Drosophila melanogaster: one gene and its partner. The protein of the gene in region 2 purifies or fractionates together with the protein of the main gene of each other region. This does not show direct contact. Each region holds a gene or a part of one and is shown on either strand. Other genes may lie near its edges.

Region 1 (7,221 bases), 2.0 Mb from region 2:
GATTTCTACGATCTCGGCAGGAAGGGAACTGGTGTCACTATGTCCTGCCAAGGCGGAATCTGGGGAGTCGGTTGGTTTCTTAAACTCCTCGATATCCGCCAGATCATCTGCCGTAATGAAACTCGTTGGCGGAGGCAAAACCTTGACCTTCTTCTCGTGCATTGTTCCCTGCGCTATAATCCGCAGCGGATCCATCTCCACCTCATCATCGCTGTCCAGAATGTCGTCCACATGGGCGCCCTCGTCCGTGTTTCTGCCATTCCACTCCAGATTGTTGAGAGCAATTTTGCCCTTTTCGACAATGTTGAGACCGCTCAACATTCGAGTCGCTTCCTCTACTTCATCCCGCCTCCTGATCTCGGCCAGTAATTTGTCGTACGACTCCTGCAGACGCTTTCCCTTGTCCGGCAGTTGGTGCAAACGCTTTCTAAATAGAGATAAAATTAAATAAGATAAATTCACAGGGAACTCCACAGGTGGAAACTAAAACTCACTTGAACGACAGAAAGTGAGACTGCCTGTCCTTAATCTCCAGCAGCTGCGGATAGGTAAGGGTCTTCAGGTCCTTGCTGTGCTTCTCCTTCGCCTGGCTGGTGCCCGGGATACGGCTAAGCGGAGCAGGAATCACATTATCGCCCATTTTGGCTCACTTATTTTGCTCATAAGCTTAGTATGACCGTGCTGTGGTTGCGATAAAATACTTAGTGCTGCTACGAAGCAAAGGGCTACAGGAGTTCACTTAACGCCTATCGTTATCGACAAAAAGGCGCGTTATTCAAAAATATACATTAGTGCTTCTGATTTCTGTGCGGAATACATTCCTATATTTCTAATCCACCCCAAGCTAGCTTTCTGAAATCCCTCATATATTTCCATAAGATATAATTAAGTACCCATATATTATTATTCCATGCCTAACGACGCGATAATCTATTCTGGTCCCTACGAATTGGGACGCCTTCGCCGGCGTCGTGATATGCGTGTGGCGGAGTACCTCTACAGGCGTTCCATTCGCACACGCAATGCGGATCCCGAGATGACCGTGTGCCGTTTTATCAAACTGCTGCTCTACTTCATCGGATTCTTTTTCGTTTTGGGCGTATTCACAACCGGATTGGCCCTCGTGATGATTGCGAATCATATATATCCGGATAGGCCGGGATGCAAAAAGTTCCCCGGACTAGCAACCGCACCCGGACACCATGTCGGTGATCAGAAGCAAATTATGTGGAGCCCTAATAACATTAAGGATGTGGCTAACATACAACGCGCGATAATGCGAACGGTGAAACGATACGGTCTCGAAGGCCCGAAGCGCCTGATGGGCTGTAACATAGACGACAGTTGGGGCTATATGTCCGGCACGCCGTGCATTCTAATAAAGATCACCCAGGCATTGGGCTTCCAGGCGGTAACCTACGATGACGCCCTAACGCTGCCCGAGTACGCTCCGGATGAGCTATTCGACTATGTGGTGGGCCTGGGCTCGGAGGAGCGCTTCAACCGCATCTGGGTGTCCTGCCAGGTTATTGAGCCAAGAGTGGACATTCAGTTCGACTACCATCCGGTTCGCTTCTTCGATGCCGAAGAGCTCTTCACCTCCGGCAATGTCTTTCTCAACGAGTCTTCGGACGACGACGGACCTACTTACAAGGAGGATCCCCGCCTCAGGCGCATCATCAGTGTTCGGTTGAGCAACATTCCGATCAACGAGGACATCCAAATCCACTGCAAGGCGTGGGCTAAGAACATACCGCTCCATATGGTAACGGTCAAGATGCTGGTGCGTCTGACGGCACCAGTTCATCCAACCACTCCATTGGTGCTGGACGAGTGGTACGAGTGAGATCAGCTAACTCAGCTGGATTTATTAATGTATTAATAAATACTTAACAAAATAATAAAACTATTTGAGAATTATAGTTTACTCCGCTTTAGATTTCATAGTGAACCGAAGCTACAAGCTTCGAATATTTCCCACTTACGCCCACGTAACCAGTAGCCAAATCAGAACCGGAACGATCGCCACGATGCCGGAGGACGTAATGGTGCCCGCTGGGGACTACAAGCTGGTCAAGCAGATACGCCGGAACCAGGAGACACGTCGCAAGAAGGACCTGCCGTGGTCGAAGAGGATATTCGACATAGACGAGCACAAATTGTTCGGACGCACAGCTCTGGGTTGGATGCGTATCACTGGCTTCTACCTGGTACTATACGCCCTAATCGTGTGCATTGTGGCCTTTTGGTTGGGCATCTTTATGCTGGCCATCATTGATCCGAATAAGCCGCGCTGGCTCAAGGGTCCGCCGGGTCTGTCGATGGTGCCCAACCAGAATCGATCCGTGCTGGCCTACTTTACGCACATCATGAGTGAGGTCAATCCGATTGCGGACCGCATCGACGATTTCCTGAACAAATTGAACGACAATGCCATTGACTTCTTCGCCGATTTCAACCAGGACACTACGTGGGGCTACGCCACCGAAAAGCCGACCGTCTTCATCAAGCTGAACAAGGTTATTGGCTATGTGCCGGAGACCTACGACACGCCAGATGACTTGCCCAAGGAGGCGCCAGCGAGCCTTCAGGACACCGTGGGCAAGCTGGGCAACACGCCCAAGATTTGGATCACCTGCGAGGTGACCAATGGGCCCAAGCCCGAAATGGTCTTCTATCCGGGTCCATATTTCGAGGCCTCCGAGAACATGAGAGGAGTGACGCGCGTGGTGGCCATCCAGATGAACAAGATGCCCGAGAATGCGAAGACCTTCTTCAGCTGCAAGGTGTGGGCCCGAAACATACCCATCGACGATGACTACCAGGGCATGGGAATTATCAAGTTCGCGCTGAGCATGCGCACCGATGATGACGGCAATCCGGATTTCGAAAGGCCCTCCACTCGTAAGGCACCCCGCGAAATAGATCTCGAATCCGAAGAGCTCGTTCCCGAACCGCCATCTCCAAATCGACCAGAAAGTATGCTCGGAGGATTAGAATTGCCGCCACCGCCAGAGGATGAGAAGGACGCACTAGACGCAATGGGAAATGATGCCAAGAAGGAGGAAATGACGGAGCCACCAAGCTTATAAGAATTGGAATCTATTACTACTATTATTACCATTTGGAATTCTAGACAAAATTTGCTTATGTGCAAATTACCTATCTGTGTAGGTGTTCTTTAGGTTATTTAATTTCGAATAAGAATTGGGGGTAACCCACATTTTCACATTTCAAAAACCTATTAAATCTTGTTTCTGTTCTTGTTTTTCATATAATCAAATGATAAATGATAACTGATGATCTTTGATCTTATAGATTTATATATAATTTTATTATAACTATATTATATTCATTAACTTTTTATAATAATTTTAACAGCATGAGTCACCCTAACAAGCTGCGCACACCTAGATAACCCGCTTGTGCTATCGATAGTCGGCGACGGGCAGCGCCCACCACCAAGTGTGACCAAGGGGCATCGCCGAAATCGATAGCATCCGCCTATCGGAATCGAAGTGTTTTGCACGAACATCGAACTTTAGCTCCGCTCCGGACACGCAGTAGCTAAATAACAAACTCATTACTAGTATATTACTGCCGCCGATTTGCAAACGCGTACCGATCCCGATACCAGGCCAATCGCACTCCCCAGTTGTACGTCATCACTTAAGTAATAAATCAGCGGCAAATCGCATAAATTGCTATTGATATTCCGCCCGCTGTGTGTGCGTGTGTATTTGCAAGAGAGTGTGTGTGTGCATATGACTCGTGCGTTTAGCCGACAATTGGAGAAAAAGCATTAGAATCCCAATTGGCTAACTAAACTAAAGTTGGCTTGGCCAAACATAAACAAAAAGTGCGGGCGCAGCGATTTGGCAGCGAAACAAAAACACCAAAGTGTTATTGGCAGATATATATGTAAATTAAATATAGAAAGTGCGTGCGAAGGTTAAGCGTAGAGTGCAAGTGCATTTATATTTGGAAATAATAAATGCTACAATTTAGTTGAAATCCGCCAGCGAATTCGCATTAAATCTAATTCTGTATTTTGTACTCTCTCGCAGCGAATCAAGCAGGAAAATACCGGATAATAATTGGCAAAGATGCAGATCAAAGAATTGTGAGTACAAAACTGTATGTTTTTACCATTTACCTGTGATTATTTGATGTTTAAATCGCAAAAAAAAATCTGGGCAAGCCGCAAATTATTTGTGACAAATCGATTTTACACTCTCTTCGTGACATTCGCTCTCTCCATTTCTCTCTGGTCGCGTGTGTTGCTGCTCTCTCAGTTCTCTCAGTAGTTGCTTTTGTTGTATTTAAGTTTGCGGGCATTTTCCGCAACAACAACAGAACCGTTTTCTTATCAGCCCCCTGACGCCCCCTTTTCCGCACACCCCCTCTCTTTCCATCTCGCTCTATCTCAGGTATTTTGCAGCTGTGGCGATGACGTAATGAGTTTAAGTCACATTTTGGAGCTACGTAAGCCAAAACTTACTTCTTATAACCAATGCCACTGCTAATTAGTTTTGGAAACTCCTTTGAATCATCGATAATCTATACTATATACGTAAAGATAATGCTTTTTAGGCGCTCGGCGACGCCACGTTGTCGACTTTTTCAGTGAGTCACTCTCTTTTGCGCCTCTCTTTTCCCATTACTCTCTTTTCGGCTTTGGGCCCTGCGATTTTAATCAAACAAGTTGTTAAGTGCGATAAGGTCGTTGCGTTAACCCCACTAAACTGACTCATCGTGCATCTTTAATCCTTTTCGGTCGCAAAGCACCAGGTGACATTCTTCTCATACATTCTTCTCATTTGCAAATGGCTCACGTTTGCCACCCTCACATTCCCATTTTGGCAATGATACTTTTAATTTATTAACGGAAATTGTCAAAAGTCTGACATCAAATGGCTCGGCTTATAATTGCTTTGACTTTGACAGCTGTCGGAAAATCAAGGAAAATCCGAGCGGCTTGCATACAGGAGATTGAAACTGAAAGCTCAAACACACAATCTCGGTCTTATCATTTTTCGTATGCGCAATCATTCGCATCAATCTTATAATGGAAACTCAATTGTATATAAACAGCACCTTTTACTGATAGGTGTTAAGTGTATCGGTTTTGTAAGCTATTAATTCTCATACGATCGGTTTCTGGCTTAAAGTACACAGAAATCGATTTCTACTTTTGTGTTGCTAAGCTTGTATTGTATAGCTTATTTTTAATTACATATCATTTAAGAATATTATTGCAACAAAAACATAGGTATATCATTAATCATAAAGAAGAAATGATATGGAAAAATTTTAAAATGGAAAATTTTTAAAAGCTAGCGAAAAATCCGTGGCATTTGGTAGTTCATTACAGCGTTCGTTCACAGAAATGTACACAATTCCTATTTAGATTACCCATAAAATGTATTTATATCATTAATATTTATCATATGGTGTACGATATGTATTCAAGTGTGCAACGACCAAAAAGTAAACTAAAGCTCATGAAGTATAGGTGAAAATATACTTCTGCCGGTCTTTAAATAATATACATTTCTGGGAACGTTTTGTATTGCTCGAAATTTTTAACAGAGAATATGGAAGATTTAAGGCAACTGCATTTTACTGCACAATAAAATTTTTTTTATTTTATTTATTTAAATACGCATAAGTTGACGGGCAGTCTTCACGAGAGGCATTAATGTTTAATTGTTCTCGACGCCGTAATCCCAACACGAATCCGAAGCCCGTAGCATTTGCATTTCAAAATGTTTTTCCTGCCAGATTTTCGCATTTTTTTTCGTCTGCCGCCTGTTGGCGTGTAAACCATTTGGCAATGAACATTTCAGCATCGTCATTAAATGAAAAACAAAGGTGCAAATAAAGGCAACGCGTGCCGCATCACAGGTTGCTGCAGGCTGATAAACAATTTTGAATGGCCGGCGGGCAAAGTGGCCAAATGAATAAAAAGCAGCTGAAAAGGTAACAACAACGAATTGTGATAGTCTGCACTTGGCATGATTTATCTGAAATTGTGTTTTATTGTTCACAAAATGTTTAAAGTGCTGCACTTTATTTGTTGACATAGTAAATATAGCTAGTGAATTTAGAATACAGAATTTATTGTGGAATCAAGCCAATAATGTTAACTATATTTACGTGATTATATCAGCAATTGGCTGGAAAGTTTAAATAAATAAACAATGGTTCAAATAGATTATATATTCTTAGAATTTAATGAAATCGATCTTATTGCTGTACGGCCAACCATCAAGCAAATTCATTTACCCTCGTCCATAGGCCACGTTTTTGCGACAATAAAGTTGGTGTGAGTGCAGGTTTCTTTTTTCAACTTTCAACCGTCTCAACTTTGATCTCTGAAAGCAAAAGCTTGTTGTTTTCAATGTCGGTCCTTTATGGTGCTCGTCATAAACCAGCTGTAGCGTGACTTTTACTGCCCCAAACTGATTGGCCTCTTTGTACACCACACATGTATCCGTCAGATACAGTTCTCCCTTCGCCCTCCCCGCTCGCCCAGCCAGCAATCAATTTGAAAATGGCACGAGCTCCAATTTAGTTCCGCCATTTGTGCGCTTTTTTATGTACTGCGATAAGATAACACGCAGTGTTTGGCTTTCGACTTCAATGCGTCGTTTTACTTCACATCGGCACTGTACTCATTACACGTTTCGAGTGTTTCGGGCTTCGGTTGTTTCGAAAATGTTTGGCAATTGAGCGTGCCGGCTACTAAGCGCCAGCATAATTGGGCTCCAAATATGGAGATACATAGTATGCTATTATCCGAATGGGGGCAAACCGCGAAATGCGGCCTTGATTTAAAAAACAACTTCTCTTCAATGGTGCATGGCCATATTATAATTTCACTTGATTTCCATATGAGCTTTGTCAGTTATCAGTTACGCTTAAGAATAGTATATAAATGGTTTGGCTATTTAGATAGCTAATTACTTATGGCTTGTAAATGGCTTAAATTATAAACACATCAGAATATCTACTTATGTTAATGCAAACACCTACTGCTTAACAGGGATAATATCGTTTTGTTATATGTATTGTTAGTTAGACGAAGGTTTAGCACAAATGCTTTAATTTCAAGCTCGAATGACTCGTTGCTGCCTTATTCACTGAACAATCGACTGAGCAATCTCTGTGTGACATCTTTATTGCGGGTAAATCAATTATTACTTGGCTTCGGCCTTC
Region 2 (7,786 bases):
AGCTTTTAAATATTTGTTTGTTTCCTGCCCGCAGCGCGATAAAACTTTGCAGACAGCGCTAGTCACTCTAGTCCCCGCTAAAACTGATAATATGATTCTTGCAGTCCCATCATCGCCATATCCACCTACAGCGTGGAACCCTACGGGGACGGAACCGATGCTCCCGTTTGCACCACCGCCGCCGATGGTTTCTGGTCGATCTTCTACTTCGTGGGCTGCATCACGGTGTTTTTCTTCCTGCCCTTCGGCATCCTGGTTCTTCTATACGCGGCCATCGCTTACAAGCTGCTCCGTCCCAACAACGCCTTCCACCGACCAACCTCCCCGCAGCCACAGCAGCCGTCCGGCGGAGCCACCAGTGGCTCCTCACAGGTGCCCAGCACCAAGGGTAACAGCCATCAACAAAGCAACGGGATGAGGAAGCATCGCAAGCAGGTAATCTTCATGCTGGTGGCCGTGGTGTCTAGCTTTTTTGTTTGCCTTCTACCCTTCCGGGCCTTCACCCTCTGGGTGATCCTGGCCAGCGCCGAGGATGTCGAGGGTCTGGGCATTGCCGGCTACTACAACCTGCTGTACTTCTCGCGCTTCATGCTCTACCTAAACTCAGCCATGAACCCGATCCTCTACAACCTGATGTCCTCCAAATTTCGCAGCGGCTTCTGGCGGCTGCTGCTCACTTGTCTGGGCCAACGGCCACATCACCACCATCGCCACCACTACCATCAGAGGCAGCATCCAACGGCAGGCGGAAGTGGGCGCAATGCGTCCACGCGACAGGAACAGGATGCCGAGGAAGGAGCTGCGCTGGCGGGAACGACCAGCGCCCGACATCCACGTCGCACACTCCGCCGCGAGGCCACCTTCTTGATCAACTCCATATCCACCTCCTCGGGTACGGATCGCACCACATCATCATCGGCGTGGCGCAGCAACAGTCTGTCCATTTCCGGTCTGAGCGAACGGGAGCGCGGCATACTGGGAGCCGCTATCATCGGCACAACGGCTGCCACCGTTACAACCGCCTGTCTGCAGGAGCGACGCGCCAGCAAGATCTGAATCCCATCCTAAATATGCATCCTTCGAGTCCCTGTCCACTGCCAGCAACCGTTAAAGTATTTAGTTGAATTCCAACAGCAAATAGTCATAGTTTTAGAAAAATTTTGTTGTAAAGACTGAAGTACCTCAGAAGAAGTCAATAAACGCAAGAGAAGATGTTTTTGAAAATCGAAACTAATTTTCTTCGGGCTTCGAAAAATTGAAGTTTGCAAGATTCGAAATAGCTTTAACTTGATTTTTAGAACAGAAACGAGTATGAACTTTTCATACGATCATTTTTATCGCACCTATTGTGATTTAATGGGAGATAGGAGGAGACCAATTGGGATATGCAAAAATAACGCAACTATTATTATCTTTGTATGTACGATTAATTTTAATCTCTAAAGAGTCAAAGTACTTCAATAATTTTACAAATCTGTCGGAGGGAATGTAAGCTTGCCCAAATCAAATGGAAGCTACAATCGTTGTCAGATGGAGATATTTTATGTTAGAAGGAATATCTCGGATACGAAATATTTAATTTAAAATTCCTTTTCATATTATTCTTTTTAAAAAATAATAAGTCCTGTATGTATACAATGCAATACATAAAGGTAGAGTATGTCCTAAAAAGAAAAATATCTTTCCGAATATATGTATATAATTTATAAAATAAGTGGATACATACATTTTTCGTAAGTATCCTAGAAGATTTGCCAACGTATCAGGTTTACAAAAATTGATTACCTATGTGCAGTTAACTTAACGGCAGTGCACTAACTAATCTGATTTGTGAAATAATGCAGATATAAAACATTTTTAAATAGAAATATATTTATACATCTGATTCTTCAACATCTAAGCACTCGTATAGAGTGCTTTGAATATATTCTAAATACATTGGCATGATCCAAGTTTTAAATCAGCCAAAAACTTGCTCCAAAAACAGGAAGATTCTACACAAATCGCCTCGCCCTTAAAGTTTCTGCCAAGTATTTGGGTGCGTGCGGATCAGTTCCGGCCTTCACTTAAGTTTTGCAATCTTTCCAAAGTCAAGAAATAAAACAAGTCGTTTGTAGGCATCGGTACAGATCGATTTTATTAGACTCAGGTCAAATTAAGATTCAAATTCGGGCGACAGTAAAAACCGAAACTAAAGTGTGTCCTTGATCCCAAACCTTGCAATTTAAATACGCACACGCAATAATTTTTATTAAACTTCATCGCTATGTCGTCATTATTACACTAATTATGTGCCTAAACAAATCCCTTGTGTCACACGATAATTCAAACACACAATCGCTCGACGTTAAATCTAAAAATGTTCGTTCGGTTTTGGGTTCGATTTACATAAAATTTCAAGTGACGATCACGTTCGCTAGAGATAATATGTTTAGAAAATTGTATTTGTAATTTAAACACATACATATGTATACATAGTGGTAAGTAGTAGCTGACACAGGACAAGTACAATTGCTCCTGCCGTCGCCTGCGCTCAATTAATGTGTAGTTAATAGTACATATTAGTTTCGGTATGGTTTCGCGCTGCTGTGATAGGTAACTTCTTATTGTAGGTTAAAGTAATATTAGGTTAATTGCTACACCGAATTTGCTTGCTTTGCACTACTTATGAACAGAACTGCGGAAATCAGAGTGACGGTTAGTATTAGGATCGATGTCCTTGTTGCTCGAGTTTAGTTGGGGATGTCTGAAGTCTGGATCGGGATCTGGATCTGGAGCTGGTTGGCTACGTACCTAATACATATTTGCTTAAATTGTTTATCGAATTGGATCACGGTTAGGATCATACAAACGCACTACTCGTCATTCCTCACCATTATTGTTATTACAGAATTAGTTATTATAATTACGATTTCGTGGATCCGCCATCGGTTTCGCTTGTTTTATTATTATTGTGTGGTTTCCGTTTTAATTTATTATATTTAAATTTTGTTTAATTGTATAATAAAATAATGATTCACAATCAGAGTTATTCAGCAGCAACCGGATTTGGTGTTTTCCACTGGACGTCCTTGATCGATTTTCACTTTGCTAGCGTTGTCAGTGGCGCTGGACGGCGGCCCGACGCGATTCTTGATCTCCGCCGCCATCGTCATGAAGGCCTGCTCAACGTTGGTGGCGCTCTTGGCCGAAGTTTCAAGGAATGGAATGCCTAACTGGGCGGCGTACTCCTGGAATTTTGGAAACAAAGACCCAGATTAGTATATACGTGCATCTATGATTCCCAGGACTAAACCAGCAATATACGCACCGCAGCTGTGGTGTGGTCGACTACTTTCTTGGTGGTCAAGTCGCTCTTGTTGCCAACCAGCAACTTGTTGACATTCTCACAGGCATACCGCTCGATCTCCTCCAGCCACTGCTTCACATTGTTGAAAGACTCCTGGTCCGTGCAATCGTATACGACAATGATGCCATGGGCGCCCCTATAATATGAAGACGTGATGGTGCGGAAGCGCTCCTGGCCAGCAGTATCCCACTGTAAACAGACTAATTAGCTCTGGACTAGATTGCCTCTGGCGTTTTTATGCTTACGATTTGCAGTTTAATGGTCTTTCCGTCGAGTTCTATAGTCCTGATTTTCTGCAAGATAAAGGTTTATGAGTCAGACATAAAGAATTTTCACAAATTTCCGGTTGGCTTACGAAATCCACTCCGATTGTGCTGATATAACTTTCTGTATATGTGTCATCGGCAAATCGCAACAGAAGACAGGACTTTCCAACGCCCGAGTCTCCAATAAGCAGCAACTTAAAGAGATAATCGCTGTGGATTTGGAGATAGTTAATATAGTTAATGTTATAAAATAGTTATATAGTTAATAAATTATAGTTAATTTAATAGTTAATGATATAAATTTGTGCTGCGATGTGGGAATAGTTCAGACCCTATGCTGAAACATATAAAACTTCAGAGAAATCTAAATAAAACTGATGATGCATATTTGCGATAGTGATATTACAAGACGAAATGTTTAAAATCAGAGTGTAAAAGGTTTAGTATACATTTAAAGGGAAATAAGTTGGATGACAATCAGTTAGAAATCATTGATTCAAGCAAAACATTTAGAGAGGTGTTTTGCGGGCATAGTTTAGTCGGGCAGATACTAATATATACATAAAACCGGTTTGGTTTAGGCTTTATCTTATCATGCTATGTCCAACATCAACCCCCAATTGCTGAATGATATGCGATAGTGTTCCAATCCTCTGCACACATGTATGCTGGCTATTGAAGGAGGCTTTCTGGAGAGTGCGAACCAAGATCGGTTCAGATTTAATTGCCTTGAGTGAGAGCGGCAATTAAGTAGCACTGGAATGGCCTTTGATTACGTAGCACTGCGCTGGGGGTGGGAAAGGCTCTCCACGCAGGTGACTCATCCGCCCGACTAGCGATTTGGCCCGTCAACTGGGATCTCGCTGTATATATGTGTGGACTTTATACATATGCAGATTCCGATGAGAGTTTCGAACGCGCTTTTCATCGCCTCGCCCGTGGGCACTACATTGAAATCCAGCTGAAACACACAGTTTTGGTTATGGTTTCTCGATTGGGTCGGTTGTTAGGTCCGAGTGTGTATTTTGTTTTTAGCAAATGGTCTGTTTTTTTGGAGTTGCCAACGAGGGCAAAAGGGAGTGGAGTGGGGCTGCTCGATAATGAATGGGAATGAAACGTAGCAGAAATGACGTCGCAGAAAAAATAAAAGAAACTATTTTCGAAGGCCAGAAAAGGAAGTGGAAGCCCAGTCACTGTTTTAACTCCAGATAACTGCGCATAATTACGTGTGACGACTTACTATTCCGGATTCACAGATGACATTTTCTGGCTTTTTCACAAGATTATATATTTGCCACGAACAAATATTCGATTTCTGGCCCTGGACTGGCTGCTGTTCAGAGTGTTTTTATTTGATTTGCGCGTTCCGAAATACTGGAAATCGACACGCACTCGGCTTGTGTTGTGTTTTGCAGTTCGCTATTGTAATTATTGCAGCGAATTTAAATGGGAAATACGTTTATTTCCACAAATTCGACGGCCGAGAACGAGAACAATGGCGACTGAAAAAATGACGAAGTGGCATTAGCGGCAGTGTTGGAAAATGCGCGGGGCCCTCTTCCAACCAGGGCTACACATTATCTTGTCTACGGAGGTGAGTGGGCGGAACCAGAGAAGAAAATATATGGATTATCGCCAAATGACCCCTAACACACCCCATATAAAAACAAAAATACTTAACTTTTGCATACAATCTCTTATGGTACATCATTTGTTTCTAAACACGGCCTTTAACATTTGAGTGTTTGCATAGAGAACACATTAAAGATAATAATAATAATACGCGTAATAGTATATGAAAGAAGATTCGATAGGCGGGTGTAGCGCCTGGGGGAATGCATCTGGCAGATCCGATATACATATGTATGAATTGGGCCGCTACTCCAGCGAATTTAGCGTGAGCAGCTGCTTGAGCACCTTCGTCTGCGAGGTCTCCCGGATCTCGCCCGCCAGGAACATCTCGTCCACCACACTGTACACCTTGTAGAAGTTGAAGACCAGATCCAGCTCGCACACATTATGGAAGTATTCGTTGAGCACCTCCACGAAGTTGTGAATGGCCTCCAGATAGCACAGGTTGTTGTCGTTTACGTCCACGCAGATGCAGAAGTACAGACCCGCATAGCGTCGGTAGACGATCTTGAAGTTGCGGAACTACAAAGGCAAAAGTGTGATAAAAGGGTGATTCAAAAGAACATATGGACTCGATCCCACCTCCACAAAGTTGGTGTGCTTGGCATCGCGCACTGTGACCACGGCATGCACCTCCTCAATCAGTTTCTGCTTCTCGTCGTCATCGAAGTTCATATACCACTTGGCCAGGCGAGTTTTTCCAGCTCGGTTTTGTATAAGTATGAATCGTATCTGGGCGAATGGAAGGTCAAATAGGGGTCTAAGCTTATAGCTGGCTAGTTGCTTACCATTTTTCGGGAAATTGGTTAAACCGTTTCCTGCTTATTTACAACTTTTTTTGTTTCGAGAATGGGGGCGAAAAACTGATTATGAGCAAATTGTGTATCACTGGGACCAGGGCTACCACTACTGTTCCGGAACAGCTGTTACCTCGTCAGTGTTGCAAACAGTTCGCGCAGAAAGCAAACGAGTTGGCAGACCCGCGCGCTGTATTACGAAGTTTCACTTTCATATTTGTTTTGGCCACCACTCCAAACTAGTCATTTACCAAAAATGTTGGCCTCTCGCTTGAATCTCCTGTTGCCCCGCGTATCCTGGCTGCGCGGTTGCTCAACGACAGCGGTGGGCCAGAAACATCAGCGCCAGGTGCCCACGGAGTTCGCCGTACACGATCCTCTGCAGGCTCACGCTCTAAAGGAACAGTGCATCCTGGTTGACGCCAACGACCAAGCCATTGGGGCCGCCTCTAAGGCAGACTGCCACCGTGTGCATCCAGAGACGAATGATGTTAAGCTCCATCGCGCCTTCAGTGTTTTTCTCTTCAATTCTCAGGGAGAGATGCTAGTGCAGAAGCGATCGTCTCACAAGGTGAAATTAAAGGGTAATCCCCTTATTACAAGGTCCATAATCCTCTGTATCCTTAGATAACCTTCCCAAACACCTACACCAACGCGTGCTGCAGCCATCCGCTTTACGAAATCGAACAGGAACGTCAGGAGCGCAACGCACAGGGCATCCGTGTGGCCGCTCAACGACGTCTCAACTACGAACTGGGCATTCCCACAGAGGAACTGCAGCCACAGGACTTTCGCTACCTGACCCGCATCCACTACGCAGACACGGGCGACGGCGTGTGGGGCGAGCACGAGATAGACTACATCCTGTTCCTGCAAAAAGACGTGACGCTGCGTCCAAATAGCAACGAGGTCAGTGAGGTGCGCTACTTGCGCCGCGATAAGATCGACGAGGCGGTGGCGAAGTTTAGTGCCCCGCTGACACCCTGGTTCTCTCTGATTCTGCAGCATCGATTGAAACTCTGGTGGGACAATTTGCACCAGCTGGAGCAATTTGAGGACTTGAGTAATATTCAGCGCTTTTAAGTGTGCTAACCAACCAAAAATACACGTAATGACGTCTAAAAGGGGCTTTTGTTCGTTTGGGTTTCAAATTCGCTTTATTCAAATGGAAAATAGTGTGTGTCTGTGTGCGGACAATGGGCACAAAGCGGATTTTATGCAACCTCCGCGGGTCGATCAGTTCAGTACAACGCTTTTGTATATGTAAATATAACAATACATATATAGTTTGTATAGGCGCACGATATTCAATATGTTTCATAGCCTAACTAATGTGTTTGTATGTTGAATATCAAATAACTAATTAGCTTTTAAAATGATCACATTACGTTTCCCATAATCATCATCATCATCGTCATCGTCGCAACAAGAATAAATATGTACAAAAGTACGACTACAGGCTAACAGAGACACAAACTAAAAGTATTGATTCTAGCCTAAATACAGAAGAAACAAACAAAAGACAAGCTGCAGCACTTAACATTAACATATATCGCTTCGGGAGCGAGTTCGAAGCGCGCGCTTCGAGGCGTGAAGTGCAGACCCCGGGCGAATCCGGAGTCGACGTTCACGAGGCACCACCTTGGCACCGTTTCTCTGGGTACTCGAGTAAATAAAGCAATTGCTCGGAAATTCCAACAACTTAAAGCTAGACCCTGCAAACTTCGATCGATGGTTTGCAC

The links.
Region 1: the proteins of Rab1 (region 2) and vib purify together in Drosophila melanogaster (affinity purification with western blotting, with the first as the bait; one study listed by BioGRID). This does not show direct contact.

The regions. Positions count from the first base shown.
Region 1 is NT_033777.3:19,222,917-19,230,137, reverse strand, and holds the start of vib (vibrator), read left to right. Parts: upstream 1-3,486; 5' UTR 3,487-3,657; intron 3,658-4,067; 5' UTR 4,068-4,106; coding exon 4,107-4,123; intron 4,124-7,221. Other genes in the region: Polr2M (RNA polymerase II subunit M), read right to left, coding at 1-427, 495-640; CG5250 (uncharacterized protein), read left to right, coding at 911-1,846; CG11703 (uncharacterized protein), read left to right, coding at 2,031-3,092.
Region 2 is NT_033777.3:21,263,916-21,271,701, forward strand, and holds Rab1 (Rab1), read right to left. Parts: upstream 5,146-7,786; 5' UTR 4,879-5,145; coding exon 4,856-4,878; intron 3,880-4,855; exon of another isoform or gene 3,826-3,879; coding exon 3,705-3,825; exon of another isoform or gene 3,643-3,704; coding exon 3,595-3,642; exon of another isoform or gene 3,539-3,594; coding exon 3,311-3,538; exon of another isoform or gene 3,231-3,310; coding exon 3,033-3,230; 3' UTR 2,114-3,032; downstream 1-2,113. Other genes in the region: AP-2sigma (adaptor protein complex 2, sigma subunit), read right to left, coding at 5,494-5,769, 5,830-5,979, 6,036-6,038; Idi (Isopentenyl-diphosphate delta isomerase), read left to right, coding at 6,301-6,615, 6,672-7,127.